Linked DNA regions of Diceros bicornis minor. Each later gene encodes a partner of the first gene's protein in a complex. Links are inferred from orthologs where the notes say so. Each region holds a gene or a part of one and is shown in the gene's direction. Other genes may lie near its edges.

Evidence for each region. The genes of interacting proteins can lie anywhere in the genome.
Region 2: EIF3I (region 1) and EIF3F share a complex: the UniProt entries of both Homo sapiens proteins name them as parts of the eukaryotic translation initiation factor 3 (eIF-3) complex. The link is inferred for Diceros bicornis minor from reciprocal best matches to the Homo sapiens genes EIF3I and EIF3F.

The regions. Positions count from the first base shown.
Region 1 is NC_080752.1:47,009,016-47,016,837, forward strand, and holds the start of EIF3I (eukaryotic translation initiation factor 3 subunit I), read left to right. Parts: upstream 1-4,817; 5' UTR 4,818-4,858; coding exon of another isoform or gene 4,859-4,887; coding exon 4,888-4,890; coding exon of another isoform or gene 4,891-4,983; coding exon 4,984-5,076; intron 5,077-6,592; coding exon 6,593-6,680; intron 6,681-6,986; coding exon 6,987-7,052; intron 7,053-7,822. Other genes in the region: TMEM234 (transmembrane protein 234), read right to left, coding at 189-283, 563-655, 3,407-3,473, 4,255-4,406, 4,859-5,018. UniProt on the Homo sapiens protein: Component of the eukaryotic translation initiation factor 3 (eIF-3) complex, which is required for several steps in the initiation of protein synthesis.
Region 2 is NC_080746.1:66,883,312-66,891,320, forward strand, and holds the start of EIF3F (eukaryotic translation initiation factor 3 subunit F), read left to right. Parts: upstream 1-5,007; 5' UTR 5,008-5,022; coding exon 5,023-5,401; intron 5,402-8,009. UniProt on the Homo sapiens protein: Component of the eukaryotic translation initiation factor 3 (eIF-3) complex, which is required for several steps in the initiation of protein synthesis.

The DNA.
Region 1 (7,822 bases):
TTGAAAGTTACAAAATCCTTTCAGTCTTGTTCTCTTATTGTGATCCATGAGGTAGCTGTTATTCCCATAAGAGATGAGGAAGCGGAAGCTCAGAGCGGGGACGTGCTAGGTCCATCTGCTCACAGCCTGCACCTCATGGCACGAGGGCTTCCTGGAGACAGTAGAGCTGGAGGGTGGTGTCGGCCCACTCAAAGGGTAGATGGTTGCCCCTGGGTCTTGCTCACTGAGCTTGTGATGCAGAGGGTGATTCCTGCCACGGTGAGCACAATGCCTGCGAATGCTCCTGCGGTAATGGGCAGAAATAAGAGGCTCTGAGCCCAGCCATGCCAGCAGGAGCTGGTACAGGGCTGAGGGAAGGGCTTAGATGGGGTGTGTCCCCAGACTGTCCAGGGGAAGGGAACTCTGATGGCCCCAAGGAAGCAGGAGAGCTGCAGAGGAAAGGGGCAGGATCGGAGAAGGTCCTCTCCTCCCCCACCCATGGGACATGGCTTTGAGAAAGAACCAAAACAGGGGTATCAAGGCCCAAGTAGCTGCTTCCCACACTTGCAGTGGCCCGACTTACGTTCTCCACCAATATCTTCTCCAAGGACCTTCCCAACAATCAGTGTGAAGACGATGGCCAGAGAGTTGCTGATGGGCACAGCTAGGGTCAGATCTGAGTGAGCAGAATGAAAAGAATCTCTGAGATGCAAAAATGCCTTTCGAAGCACAAAACACTTTCATTTCATCATCAAGACAGCCTTTTAAAAAACGGTATCTCAGGACTCCATTTCCCAGACGAAGTCACAGCCAAGCTCAGGATTCAAAGCCAGGTCTCCTAACTCCAAATTCCATGTTCCCTCAAGATTCCAGCATGAAAATCTGAACTACAAAGTCTGGAACCACCCTGGTTTGCTGCTAAGGATGAGGTCTTTGCACTCAAAGAGAGCTCCTGAGATCTCAAGCACATCTGGACAGACAGGCACCCAAAGCCCAAAGGATGCAGCAGAATGAGTGCAGTGACACGAAGCACAGCCACTGTTCATACTAAGCACATATTCTGTGCTGGGCGCTTTGTGTCCATGTCTCATTGACTCTTCACAACAACACTGCAAGAACAGCACTGTCATCATTTTGCATCGATAAAGGAAACAAAGGCTCAAAGAAGTCACATAAATTGAGGCAAATTGAGGATTTAAACCAAGGTCTGCCTGACTCCCAAGCCTGTGCCCTTATCGAATTAAATGGATATGGACAAACCAAAAGAGAAGGAGAAGCACAGTTTGTTTCTGTTTCAGCTCAGGCTTGGGCCTTATGGAGTTAAAGACGAAAAAAGAATGTTAGAAGGAGGAGGCCGGGTACCTGTTCAGGACAGGCCCCACAGGGCTGGGCCTTAGGGAGAGGCCACCAGAGCCCAGGATCTGCTCCTTAGTCTTGAAGCTCCGAGTGACTGACTCCCAATAAACAGACTTGAAAAAGACTAACAGACTTAACAACTCTGTTAACTTAAAATGTGTTACACTTAAATTTTATACACTTAAAATTTGTTAAGAGGGTAGATCTCATGTTAAGTGTTCTTACCACACACATACGAAAAAAAAAAAAAAAAACTAATGGATAAATCAGAAGCTGAGTTACTTGTTTACAAAACTCCTAACTGCCAGCGAGACCAGGATGCTCATGTTGGCTCCTCAAGAAGTTCTTTCCCAGCACTCCCAGGCCTCACCTGTTTCAGGTAGTGAGTGGAGGCGAGAATTGTCCCACTCCTCATCCCCTGTGAGGCCCTACCATGGCTGGCATTACCCATCCAAGAAACTGACACAACTCCTACTACTCAGACCTGCTTCCTTAAGCTTACATGCCTTACAACAAATGCCATGGCTGCTAAAGACTGGGTTACAATGGTAGATGGGGGAGGGAAGCAGCATGCTGCACTGGAAGAGCAAGGGCACTGGAGAGGCAGAGCTGGGTGTCCCTGTGTAGTCTCGGTTAGCTCATTCAAACACTCGGAGCCCGCTCCCCACGTGTAAAACAGTGATAGCAAGATAACAGCATCTACTTACAACAGGGTTGTTGCAAGATGAAATATGACAATGCCTGTATAGTCCCTGGCTGAAGTAGATGCTTAATAAATAGTAACCATTGTTCTGATTATTAGAATGGGTGGATGTTAAAGGATAGAGGCAGAGTAGGTGATGAGATAACAGGATCATAAAATTGCCATTTGCCCAAAACTTGGTAAATGGCCAACCGCAGTCAGCTGGCCAGAGGGTTCAGCATTCTTGGGTAGCAGGGAGTGCCCAAGTCTTTCAAACTTTCTTTTTTCTTTTTTTTTGCTGAGGAAGATTAGCCCTGAGCTAACGTCTGTGCCCATCTTCCTCTATTTTGTATGTGGGATGCCGCCACAGCATGGCTTGATGAGTGCTGCATAGGTCTGTGCCCTGGATCCGAACCCACAAACCCCAGGCCACTGAAGCAGAGTGCACGAACTTAACCACTACACCACTGGGCCAGCCCTTAAACTTTCTTTTAAATGAAGTCTTATGAGAAGCCCAAAATGTAAAACAGATGAAAGTGGAGTGACTCTAGTTGAAGCTGACACAGCAGGTCTGGAGACTGGCCTATCCCCTTGCCCACCCATGGCCTGAGAGGTTCCCCAGAGCTATCTGGGGCCCAAACTCCCTTCAAGTCCCCAGAGGGCCTGGGTGAGACTCCAGAGGAGGTGAAGCCACCACAGGGAGACTTCTCATAGCAAAGTTAAAGAGCATAAACTTTAAGTAATACATGGCTTCAAACCCTTCTGCACTGACATGCTGTGGGACTTAAGAGAGATGAAATAAGTTGCCCAAAGTTTTGTAACTTCATCTCCTAAATGGAGATAATCATGTGTCCTTCACAGGGTCACGATGAGAATTAAATAAAATGTGTAAAACTAGCACAGTATCTGATGCAGTAGAGGGCAGTCAACAAACAATGGGGGAAAGGAAATTTATATTTATTGGGCTCCTACAGTGTGCACCAGGTACTCTGCTAGATGCTTCTCATACACTGAATTTAATCCTCTCAATGCTATGAAGCCAGTCGTATAAAACCAAGGTTCACATGAGGGACTTGCTCAAGGTCAAGCAGGTAGCATGCAGTGGAAGCAAGAGCATCAAAGCCAGCCCTTGACACAGCAAAGTGAACCCTCCTTCTTCCTCTGCTGCTGCACAAGACTGCCAGGCTTCAAACCAAGCCTAGTGCCTGGCAGCATACTCACAACCAGCCCCCTGTGCTCCTTCTGCTCAGAGAAGGCGGTGCACAGGGAACCAGAGGCAGTGGGCTCTCCCTCACCCATGGGAACAAGGTGCTTCAGGCTCCCTCCCCAAAGTGACTCTTCCAGGTGGCCTCCACCACTAAGCATAGCAGTTCTAAGCCAGAGACCCACCTGTTGATGCCAAGGTGAGGTAGTAGAGAAGGGAACCACACTGGTTTAGGAAAAACGGCATCAGGTACTGAAAACAGAAGAAATCTGTAGTCAGTGTGATTGCTTGACTGAGCAGCACTGTCTACTTTGAGCTTCTGGATATGCCTTTCCTTGGAGGGAGGGGTAGCTATAAGGGCCCAGGGAGCACTGAGCCTTCTGAAAAGGACCCTTCCAGGGCAGAGGGAAAGTTACTGACTGAACTCCATGCCTTTGTCCTGAATGCCCCCTCCCTCAGCCCTCCTAGTTCCCATACCCCCTATCCTGCAAGTCCCTGAGTGCCAATGTCACTCCCTCCAGGAAGCTTTTCCCAAGTCCCCTAACTCCAGCCTCCCTCCTCTGAACTATCTGTACCTCTCTCATACCCCTTAGCCCTGAGAGGTGGTTGTGTCCATGTCTTGTCTTTTCCACTAGCCTAGACTGGCAGTGTTGGGGTCAGAGGGAGTTCTCCATATCCTTCCTTAAACTCCCTCCCCAGGGCCAGTTTGGGCCCCAAGCCCTCGCTCTGGAAAGGTCTACTGGAGGGATCACAATAATAAAATATTAATAATAGCAGCCATAGGCTGAGCACTACTTATGTACTAGGCCCTGTAACTCACTTCACTTAATCCTCACAACTGCCCTATAAAATGGTTACCATTATAATTCCCATTTTACAGATGATGAAACTGAGTCTCAAGAAGAACAAGTAACTTGTCCATGAGCTTCTAGCGAGTAAGTGGTGGGGTGTAGATTCTAACCCAGACTTGTTTGACTCAGGAGACTAAACTCTTAGCCACTATCCCCGAGAGAGGGGCCATTCACAGACGCACCTCAGTATTCAAGAAGAGAGTCTTCATCTCCTGCAGCAACTGCCGGGCCCAGGTCTGCTCATGAACCTGCTGCAGGCCGGAGGAGGCCCGCTTGAGCAGCGGTTGTGTGCCACCCCACAGAGCGGCCACCAGCACCAAGGCCAGTACCTGCCCTGGATGGAGATGCGAGTGACCCCTCCCTACCCCCAAATGGCCGCCCGCCGGGCCCAGCCCTCATCCGGCCTCCCATCCCGGCCGGCCCTCTCCCGGCCTCCTATGCCCAGCTAGCCTCCCCCACCTCCCTCCTTCGCTCTCCGACGCTGCGGGTGCGATTCGCGGGTAGGACAGACCCCGGAAGGCCGGGGAGATGAATCCAGGAGCCCGGGGCTTGGGGCTGTAGCAAGAGTCGGGGTGAGGTGGAGGTGGAGGTGGACGTGGAGTAGGAAGCGAACTCCAGAGGTGGAAACTGAAGGCCGTAGACGGGCGGTAAGCCATGGTGGGGCGGGGCGCCTTACCCACCGAGAGACGCCGCCATGGCAACGCCGCTCCCTTCCACTTCCGGGAACGAAGGGGCGGGGACCCATAATCCGGAAGCCGCTGCAAAGCCTCTTCCGGTTCTACTCACGTTGCCGCTCTCCTCGCGTCACCGCTGCGATGGTAAGTTCCCCTGAGTTGGAGGTGTTGCCCTGGGGGTCCGGGTCTGGACAGGGGCCGGTTCTGGGCGCTGACTCTCCCGTCCTGTCCCCACAGAAGCCGATCCTTCTCCAGGGCCATGAGCGGTCCATTACGCAGATTAAGTACAACCGCGAGGGAGACCTCCTCTTCACGGTGGCCAAGGACCCTGTGAGCCTCGGCTGGAGGGCGGGCTGGCGGGATCATGCGGAGGGCCTCTGGAGGGGGCGCGTTCATTCTGGAGGGCGATGGGTGGACAAGCGAGTTTTGCCGCAAGAGGGGAACCAAAGAGCGCCCTATTCTGAGAAGTAAGGAGAGACCATCCTGGGGGTAGGTAGGAGAGAGCATTCTACCAGGAAAGGTGGGAAAGAACTCAGTTGTTGGTAGAAAGAGGGAGTAGCCGGGGAGAAGAAAAGCAAGAGACCATTGTGGAAGGAGGACGGGGACAAGGGTCAGCTCGTTCAGGGGACCAGGAGGAGACCACTCTGGGGGAGAACAAAACTATTCTACCTGGAGAGGGGAACAAGCCACCTCTAGAAGGGGAAAGCTGATGTTTGGGTGGTGAGGGACACAGAGGACTTAATAAAGGTGTCCTTGGTCTCATTTCAGTCAGTCCTTCTGGGCCCCATCCTGCCATTCACTGATTGTAAACAGGCCCTCACAGCACCGCCTTTTGAGGCACCTCCCCATGGATGAAGTTAACTCTAATGGTAAAAGTGGGGATGCGGAAGCCAAACGCCTGATTTGAATCCTGACCCCTGCATCCACTAGCAATGTGACTTTGAGTGTGTCATTTAACCTTTCTAAACTTCAAGTTTTGGGGCGGCCCCGTGGCTTAGCAGTTAAGTGCGCGCGCTCCGCTGCTGGCAGCCAGGGTTCGGACCCCGGGCGCGCACCGAGGCACCGCTTCTCCGGCCATGCTGAGGCCGTGTCCCATGTACAGCAACTAGAAGGATGTGCAGCTATGGCATACAACTATCTACTGGGGCTTTGGGGAAAAATAAATAAATAAATAAAATTATAAACTTCAAGTTTCCCTTTTTATAAAATATGGGTACTGATAGTACCTCCTCCATGGCATTGTCTTTAGGATTAAATGAGATCATTCAAGTAAGGAGCTTAGCACCTGGTGCGTATGAGTGCCTAATTAATGTTAGTCACCTATATTTTAAATTCCTTAATCATTTTATTGGAGCCTCACAGCTACCCTTTGAAAATGGCATTATTGTCATGGCTATTTTACAGATAGGCAAACTGAAGTTCAGAGGGGAAAAGCACTGTATCTGAGATAATACAGTGAGATTGTGGCAGAGCAAGGACTCCCCAGGCTTCCCTACTACCAAGTACTCCCACTTGGACAGGACACCAAAGCTACTGTTTTTCTGGACTGGCACTCAACTTGACCTTTTATTCTTCTGAGGGCTTAGGAGTCTGGGGGAGGGCTGGGACAGTGGCAGATGGAGACATTTTTGCAAGCCTCCTGACTCCTCTGCCGCTTACCTGTAGGAAGGAGGAGAATCCAGGAGTTGGTCTTTTTACCAGCAACCTGCTGTTTCCCAAGAGATGAGCAGGAGAGAGCAGAATCTGGCCTGGCTAGAGGCTGGTGAGGGTTCCTGGGGCAAAATAGGAGGCTATTGCTCTGCCTGGGTTGTGTACCATCCTGTCACATTGTCGTTGACCCCTCCAGATTGTCAATGTATGGTACTCCGTGAATGGTGAGAGGCTGGGCACCTACATGGGCCATACTGGAGCTGTGTGGTGTGTGGACGCTGACTGTATCCTTGTCTTGGCCCTGAGTCTATGCTCCCAGGGTCTGCCAGCAATGGAAAAGCTGCTGAGTTGGAGGTTGGGAGTTTGGGATGCTCTTGTGGGTCTAGATAATGAAGCCTCCTACTCCCTTTGTTCACTGATTGGGGGAAGATTCAGGACAAGTTCCAGTTCTAGATGAGGAGGTGAGAAACCTCTGAGGTAAGAGAGAAGAAGAAAAGCTCTTTGGGGCTGAAAAGGGAGATGATTGAGTTGGCTCCCAAGAGGACAAGGGCTCAGGTGAACTCAGTCATGTTTCTTAACACCCTCTTCAGGGGACACCAAGCATGTCCTCACTGGCTCAGCTGACAACAGCTGTCGTCTCTGGGACTGTGAAACAGGTAAGCCTGGGCTATTCACTTTTTCAGCACAGTGGGGACCTACAGTGTACTGTTTAAGTGAACAGGTTCTGGGGAAATAGAAATAAATCCAGAGATGGTTCCTAGCCTAGGGAACAAGAGACAGATAAGAAAATAAGGAAGACAGATGAGAAAAGAGGCACTGCAGGAAGATAATGAGCCATGTGAGAGGAAGCATAGAGCTCGGTGGAAGGCCAGAGAGAAGCGACTGACTGCCTGGCAGGGGGATGGGAGCAGCCCGAAAGGTTTCCCAAGGTAAATGTCATATGAGCTGGGGCTTAAAGGATGAGAAAGAGGTCATCACTTTGGCACATGCAGGAATGAAAGCATGGCAAGTGTCGTGTCCAGGTCATATGATCTGGCAGGAGTTCCCGCTTGAGGGATGAAATAGTCAGTGGAGAAGATGAAGCAGGCTAGGGCCAGAACAGGCCTTGAGTGCCAAACTCAGGAGCTTGGCTTTGTTCTGTAGGACGTGGCATGCTGTGGAGGTTGCTGAGCAGGGAAGAGTGGTGGTCTGTGTTTAGTTTTAGCAAGCTCAGGTAGCAGTGGGGAAAGAACTGCAACTAAAGACGGGGGAGCCTATGAAAGCTGCTCCATATAGTAAATATTTACCGAGTCCCCAATTTTGTGCCAGGTCTAGGCTGGGCGCTGGGGACACAGGGAAATTAGAGCGGGTGTTTGCTGTGAAGGAGCATATTCCGAGGGGGAAACAGGTATATTGCAGTCCACTGTGAGCAGTGCTCCATTAGCAC
Region 2 (8,009 bases), on another chromosome or scaffold:
TAAATTTTGCAAATATATTCTCCAAGTTTATGGCTTTTCCTTTCTTTATTTTTTTATTAATTTCTTTCTTTACTTTTCTTCATTTTTTCTACATTTTTCTTTAGAAAATCTTTATTATTTTCTTTAAGCTGTCTTTTGAAAAACCAATCCTAGTTTTAGTGTAGCCAACTTTGTCAGTGCTGTCTTTTACAGTTAGGGCTTTTGGGGTTTTATTTAAGAAATACTTTCTATTTGAATGTCAGAGAGATAGACATCTACCTCTGTATATTTTAATGTGTTTAAGGTATTGTTCTAACCTCTTAGTCTAGCAGGAATTTTTTAATTCTATTTTTTGAATTGTCCTTCCTTTCCCCATTAATCTGCCATGATACTTTTTTATATATCAAAGTGTCATAAATGCCTAGTACAGTTTCTGGCTCTTTTTTATTGTTGTTCCATTTCATCTATTCTGCACCAATACAATGATTTACTAATTACTATATCTCCAGTTTTAAAAGGTCTTGAAATCTGGTAGAGCAGGTCCAATATTATGTTTTAATTACTACAGTTTTAGGATATGTCTCAATGTTTGATAGCACAGGATCTCCCTCCCATTCTGCCATCTTTTTCATGAAAACCGTGTTGGCTATTCTCGGCCCTTTGCTTTTTCCTATACGTTTTAGAACACGTTTGTAAAATTTGACGGATTTAGATTGCATTGACTCTAAAGGTTTATTAGAGGTGAATTGACGTCTTGGTGATATTAAGTTTTCCTATTTGTGATCATGGATTATAATTTATTTAGGTCTTATTTAATGCATTTCTGTAAAGTTTTATAATTTTCTATGTATGGGTCTTGCACATATTTTGTTGTTTATATTTTTGTTGCTTTTGTAAATGGTGTACTTATAATGACATTTTCTAATTTTTTATTGTTGATGCATAGAAGAGCAATAGCTTGTTCATCTGTCAGATCTATCCACCTATTGTTTTAATAATTTATCTATGAATTGAATTCTTTTGGGTTTTCTATGCAGGTAACCATTATTTGCAGAAAATGGCTTTTACTTTCTCATTCCTAATCCTTATGCCTTTGATTGTTTTCCTTTTTCGGACTGTGCTGGCTGGGACTCTGGTTAAATGTTGAATTAAAGTGGTGATAGCAGCCATGCTTGTCTTGTTCCTGATTTTAAAGGGAATACCTCTTCTAATGTTCTTAGGTGCTGGCGACGAGCAGAGACAAACTGTGGGAGGCAGCCCACCAGCCTGCCTGTGCCAGGCCCGGTCTGCAGAAGGACGGGGCCATGGTTCCTGCACAGCTCTGCCCCATCAGGGAAGGCTGAGTTAAGTCTCAAGTTCCAGTTGCTACAGAGTCAAGAGAGCCTGGGGCTCCCCCTTGTGGTCCTCCTATAGTTGCAGCTGTAGCTGGGGCTCCCTTCACTCCAACCATCGTTGAGGAGGTGGGATGGGTTTATCAAGCTGCAGGCCCCATCTTTAACATGAGCCTACAGTTATGACCCTGGTCTTTTCAGGCAGGACTATCAAGCTTGTTCCCCAGGACAGTCAGAAACCCAGATGTGACGGTGAATTTTATGTGTCAACTTGACAGGGGTGCAGGGTCCCCAGATATTTGGTCAAACAGTATTCTGAGTGTGTCTATGAGGGTGCTTTTGGATGAGTTTAACATTTAAATTGATAGACTGAGTAAAGCAGATTGCTCTCCCTAATACGGGTGGGCCTCATCCAATCAATTGAAGGCCTGAAGAGAACAAAAGGGCTGACCCTCCCTTGAATAAGAGGGAACTCCTCCTGCCTGATTGCTTGAACAGGACACCGGTCTTTTCTAGCCTTCAGACTCAAACTGAAACATCAGCTCTCCCTGGGTCTTGAGCCTGCCTCTAGTCCGTCAGACTAGAACTATATATTGGCTCTCCTGGGTCTCCAGCTTGCTGACTAAAGATCTTGGGACTTCTCAGCCTCCATAATCATGTGAGCCAATTCCTTATTTATTTATATATATATATATATATATATATTTATCCTGTCAGTTCCTCTGCAGAACTCTGACCAATACACCATGTACACAACACATTTTCCAAATACAAGGGGACAGCCCATTTTCTCTCTCCCCATGCCTTCTGCCCTTTCCTGATGAATCTGGGCCCCAGAGTTTCATTTATAGGGTTCAGCCTGCCTGGATCCCTCAGTCAGCCATTGAAAAGCGAACATCCTGGATGTATGCACTCCCTTGTCCTGGCCAGTCAGCATGCCTAGGAAGACCATGCCAAAGATCTCTCTCCTCCTGCCCCTGAGCAATGTGGCTGGAGAAACATACAAGAGCTGACCAGATCCTTGAGGTCTCCAGGCTCAGCTGGGCCCTCTCATAATTGATCAATGCCTTTGATGGCTCACTCTTGGCCCCTCTTCCAAATGCTGTCCATTGTCCCAAAGCTGAACCCCACCCTTGCATTGCCATTCTCAGCAGATCACTCTGCCTCCACCTCCCTGAGAAAAATATCAATTGACAAGAGCTCCTGCAACTTCCCTTCTCTCCCCAATTCAAAGTGTCTCCGATTCTTCATCCATCCCTTTCTCCTTTCCTCCCAGAGAGAAAGGTCTTTAGGCCATCTATATAAAGGCAAAGTTCTTGGTGGTGAAGTGTCCACATCCAACTCAAATCAACACATGGATAGGCATTCCAAGGGTGTGTATGGTCAGTTTGGGATGGCAACACCTATTCCTAAGGGGTGATTCTCTCCTCTGGCCTTCTTTCCATAGGATGATCTCACGGGACCAGCCCTGGCTAAAGGAGACCCCCACTAGGAACCCACAAGGGAGGCCACAGCCCAGGGCAGCCTCTGCAGCATATCCTCCATCCTGTGCAAGACCATCCCTCTCATCTAGGCTTCTCCATTCAGGTCCTCCTTCCTGCCTTGTTTCATTAGACAGTTTCCCTAGCTCACACTTGTATATTCAATCTTTCTCTCTCCTCTAGATCCTTACCCTTAGCTTAAAATATACTAAAAACTCTCCCAGCCACAACTGTCCCCCTCTCAATCTTGCCGTTCCCCCAGCTACTGCCTTAAATGTCTCCTTTCCTTCCCAGGCAACTTCCTTGAGAGAGTAGCCAGCACTCACTGCCATCATTTCAAGCTGGCCATTCTCTCACACCTGAATTCTGGTTTCCGTGTCCACTCCACCCTCAATTCCACTGACACTGCTCTACTAGTGCTGGTAAAAATCCAGGTCATCAAATCCAAGAGTCATTATTCAATCCTCCTCTGATAGGCGGTTCACTTGTGTTTGGGGGAATTAAAAGAGAGAATGTCTACCCAGTGCACTAACAGGGGAACAGTATCATGTGAATTCTGATTATGGAAGGGAGCTCCAAGGAGAAAGCAGTTCTTGGACATAAGAGTCAAGGCTAAGAAGTTCAACCTCACCACCGACCTGGCCAGCTGGATGCTGGGATTTGACCTAAGTAAGGGAGTTGACAGGTTTCCTGACAGGCAAATGTTAACATCCCCATTATACCAAGAAGGAAGCTGAGGCTCAGAAAAAAATTATCAATTGCCCAAAATTACACAAGGAGTGAGGCTCAGAGCTCCTTCTATCACATCGTACTAATAATAGCTACCACTTAACAATAACAAATGCTGTATATCAGGCATATGCTAAGAGCTTTACAGAGCATTACTCAGTTAATCGTCTCCCAAAGTACAGACTAGAATCTCTACCTGACCACTCTACAGTTCTGTTTGGATGTCTAATGAGATGCCCGATCTCAAGGGTGACACATCCAACAATGAACTTGGGATCTTTTCCCAAAAACCTGCTCCACTTGTAGCTTTCACTATCTCAACTGATGGCAACTTCTTGATACTAGTTGCTCAGCACAAAACACTGGAGTCATTCTTGACTCCTCTTTTTCACACCTCGCATACAACTTCTCAGAAAATCCTGTTGTCTCTACCCTCAAAGTATGGCCGTAATCTGCCCACTTCTCACCACTTCCACTGCCGCTGGCCTGGTCCCAACCACCATCACCTCTCACTTAGGCTTCCTGGGAATCTCCATGCATGTCTCCCTGCTCTTTCTCTCTCACCTCCCTCTCTCCAATAACCGCCCCTCCATTCTATTCTTCTCTAAGCAGTCAGAGTGATCCTTTTAAAACTAAGATCAGGATTCTCCCCTGCTCACAACCCTGCAGTGGCTCCCCATCTCACTCAGACTAAAAGCCAAAGTCCTTACTGTGGCCTAGGAGGTCTTTAATGATCTGCTCCCTGACCCCTATGTAGAGGTCCATCTCTTGCTGCTCCGGGCCTTGCTCCTAACACTCCAGCCACCCCATAGCCTCCTCAAGCACACCAGGCCTGCTCCTTAGCTGTGCCCTCTACCTGGAGGCTCTCCCCGTCCCCCAACAATGGCCGCCTCCTTCGCCTCCTTCAAGTCCACTCATATTCTCTGCTACTTTTTCCTTTTTCACAGCACTTATCACCTTCTAACTTATTATATAATGTACTCATTTGTCTCTCCCCGTTAGAATGTAAACTCTTCTGGGGCAACGATATTTGTTTTATTAGCAGATATATCCCGAACGCCTAAAAGAGCGTCTGGCACAGATTCAAATTGTTGAATGAATAAACCACCATACTGACACCTTATGACGCTGTCAAGAACAAAGTCCTTTAAAAGGCATTTTGACATCCACTATTTTCCCACTGAAATCTGAGAACAGGAATTGCGACCCTTGCGCTGCTCTCCGGCTCCGTGGGGCGGCGGCAGCACAGACAGAATTGTTTCTCTTCTCCAACCGCGGGCCCAAGTTTACTCGGAACTATTTAGCTTGTTTCTCACTGAGTGCCTATCGGACCAAAGTCAAAGAGCACAAACTAAGAGCAGGAAATTGTAGTGCCGTGAGAAGCATCATCAGTAACCAATAGGCACAAAGATCTAGTTCACGTGGTGCGTTTTCAGCCTATCGTGTGCCTAATATTCCCTAACTCGCTCCCTTCCGCTCCCGGCTCTTTCTCTCTCGACAAGATGGCCACACCGACAGTACCGGCGAGTGCTTCTCCCGCCACTCAAGCCCCTTCCCCAGCTGCGGCCCCAGCCCCGGCGTCAGCCCCAGCCCCAGCCTCCCCCTCAGCTCCGGCTGCGCCGCCGGCTCCAGCTCCATCGCCGGCTCCAGCCTCATCCTCAGACCCGGCGGCGGCGGCTGGGACCGCGGCCCCGGGACAGACCCCGGCCTCAGCGCCAGCCCCCGCGCAGACGCCGGCGCAGTCGCTGCCCGGGCCTGCGCTCCCAGGCCCCTTCCCCGGCGGCCGCGTGGTCCGGCTGCACCCCGTCATTTTGGCCTCCATCGTGGACAGCTACGAGCGACGCAACGAGGGCGCTGCCCGAGTCATCGGGACCCTGCTGGGTGAGTGGTCAGGGTAATCGACGTTCTCTTCTATCTCCCACGGCCTTTTGTCTTGCTCACCTCTCTTCCCATTCCTACTGACCTCTTACTGTTTCTCTATCTCACCTTCCTGCTGCGACTTAACTCCCCAAGGAACTTGAACTTTCCTGCCCGATTGCTGTCACTTTGGGCGACATAAAATACGTAAAGAGTAGTTGGTTATTGAATAAATATCTATAAGTGTGCCGAGTGACGTAGGTTTTATTTTTGATCTTCACGACAGCATTTCACGTCAGTTGTAATTAGTGCCAGTTCACCGCGAATGAGTTCAGGCGCAGACTAGGAAGTCAAAACCTCTGGCTCCCTAAGCCCAGAGACCACGTTTTCCCCCCTTATCTAGTGACTAAATGTCTTTATTTTCCAGTTGTTTACAAAGAAGTTTCTAACCGGTTGGCAAAGGAGTGGGGCATCTGTAAAAAGATAACCCTCTCAACAAGTAAATTTGTTTGGCAGGATCCCATTTAGGATTTCAGTAGTATTCTGCTTTCCTAAACATCTTAGCCTGATCCTCTGTTCCTTACTAGTTCCTAATGCCGGAGACCCTGTTTCCCCAGTCCGTCTCTAATTCTCTGTTTGGACACAAACGATTGTATTATCTGTTTATGATATTGTTTAACCTTCAGATGGAAGAATAACTTTTTCCCTGTCGAAGTTCCAAATTTGGAGTATACATATCTTAAAGTAATTTGTAAAACTGAGAAGCGCTGAAACGGAATTACTGATATATCTCTTTCTTTGGGGACTGCTGATCTCATCAAATTCATTTTCACTCCATCTTAGTTACAGATTTTAAACACCTTTGTGAATCCACTCCACTCCCATGCATTATTTCTCTTTCTAACTCTTGAACGTGTACTAGTCCTTCCAGCTTAGAAGAAAATTGATGTTTTGCAAAAAGGACCAAATTGGTAGGCAGCCTCCACCACATATTAGCCACGTGCCTTGGGACAGATTACCTAAAGTCTAGTTCCTTCAGGGGCTACTTTAGACTTAGTTCTCACAAAGACTAAGTTATTACAGAAAGCATCTAACTGTGCTGGCACACATTAAGTGTAAAACCGCCGTTGGTTGCCGTCCTCCACATCAGGCCTATACCAGCCCTAACACATGCATACATTCTTCCTCTCTTTATCTTTGAGGGTGTAGCATTTTCCAGAAACTTCAAATGATCCATTATCTTCCAAACATTGCCACGGTTTCTCTCACACCAAGCCTCTGTATTCTCTTTGCCACAAGTGCCTTGCCTGCTCACCCTCATTTGTTTAAGTTCCACTCATCTTCCAGGTTCCCAGGATGAGTGTTCAGTATCAGTCCTCCATCCCAGACCCCTGCCCCAACCCCCATTCTTGGTTATTTTTGGTTTTCTTTTTTGTAAGGCAGATCAGCCCTGAGCTAACATCCGATGCCCATCCTCCTCTTTTTGCTGAGGAAGACTGGCCCTGGGCTAACATCCGTGCCCATCTTCCTCTACTTTATATGGGACGCCACCACAGCATGGCTTGACAAGCGGTGCGTCAGTCCACACCCAGGATCCAAACCTGCGAACCCTGGGCCGCTGAAGCGGAGCACGCACGCTTAACCGCTACACCACTGGGCTGGCCCCCACCTCACCCCCATTCTTAACCTCTGTGACTGCCCTGCTTTGAGCTTCTGTAACAGATGATTTTTGCATCACTGGCTTGGCACTAGACAAATACTAATTTAGTCTTTCAGCTGTACCCTCAAAGTTTCCAGACTCACTGGAGCTGATTAAAGAAACAGTTCTCCAACCGAGGTTTGTGCTGTGTGCCCCAAATATGCCAGTGACCCTAGTTAGACCAACTGTGATCTAGATGTTTAGATCCTCTTCCAGATTGGGATCACGGTACAGTGCTTGGTGTTATTGAGGCAGTACTTACTGAAGAATGAAGCATAGATTCTGCTTACCAGGAACTTAACGAAAGCAAAGGAACGCTTACAAAGCATTCCTAGATTTGCTTGCTAAGAACTTAAATTTTCTCAGTTAGACATTAATTCATAAAACATATTTCATTTGGTTAATTGAAGTCACTGATACCTTTTATGTACCATAAAACTGTTAGGTACTTAGAATTCAAAGTTTGATAAAACAAACTCTAACCTTAAACTCAAGATGAAGATATACTCATATGCAGCTAATTAGAACATAATGTGATAAATGCTGTAACAGAGGAGTGTCATAGTGGCATGGAAACTCAGAAGACTTAACTTTTTCAGGAGCTTGAAGTGCTCAAGTCTGTTGAATGCTGATGAGAGGTCAAAGAATGTGAATCCATTGGGTTTGGGGACATAGTTTCAGCTAAGCGGGCAAAAACCATAGTGAAGTGGAATTAAGCAGACACTGACAGTTATAGGCAACACTGTGGTCTGTGGTGGAGAGGGAAGCACTTGAAGCCTGGCGTGGGAGGTGCCAGTAGATTAGGAAAAAATGGAGAGGTCGAGGGACTAGTGGTCTTAGTGAGGTCAAGAAACAGATGTAGTGGGAGTAAAGGTATCAGAGCTGGAAGAACAGAAGGTTGTGGTAAGAGACTGACATTGATGTTTAAGGTTC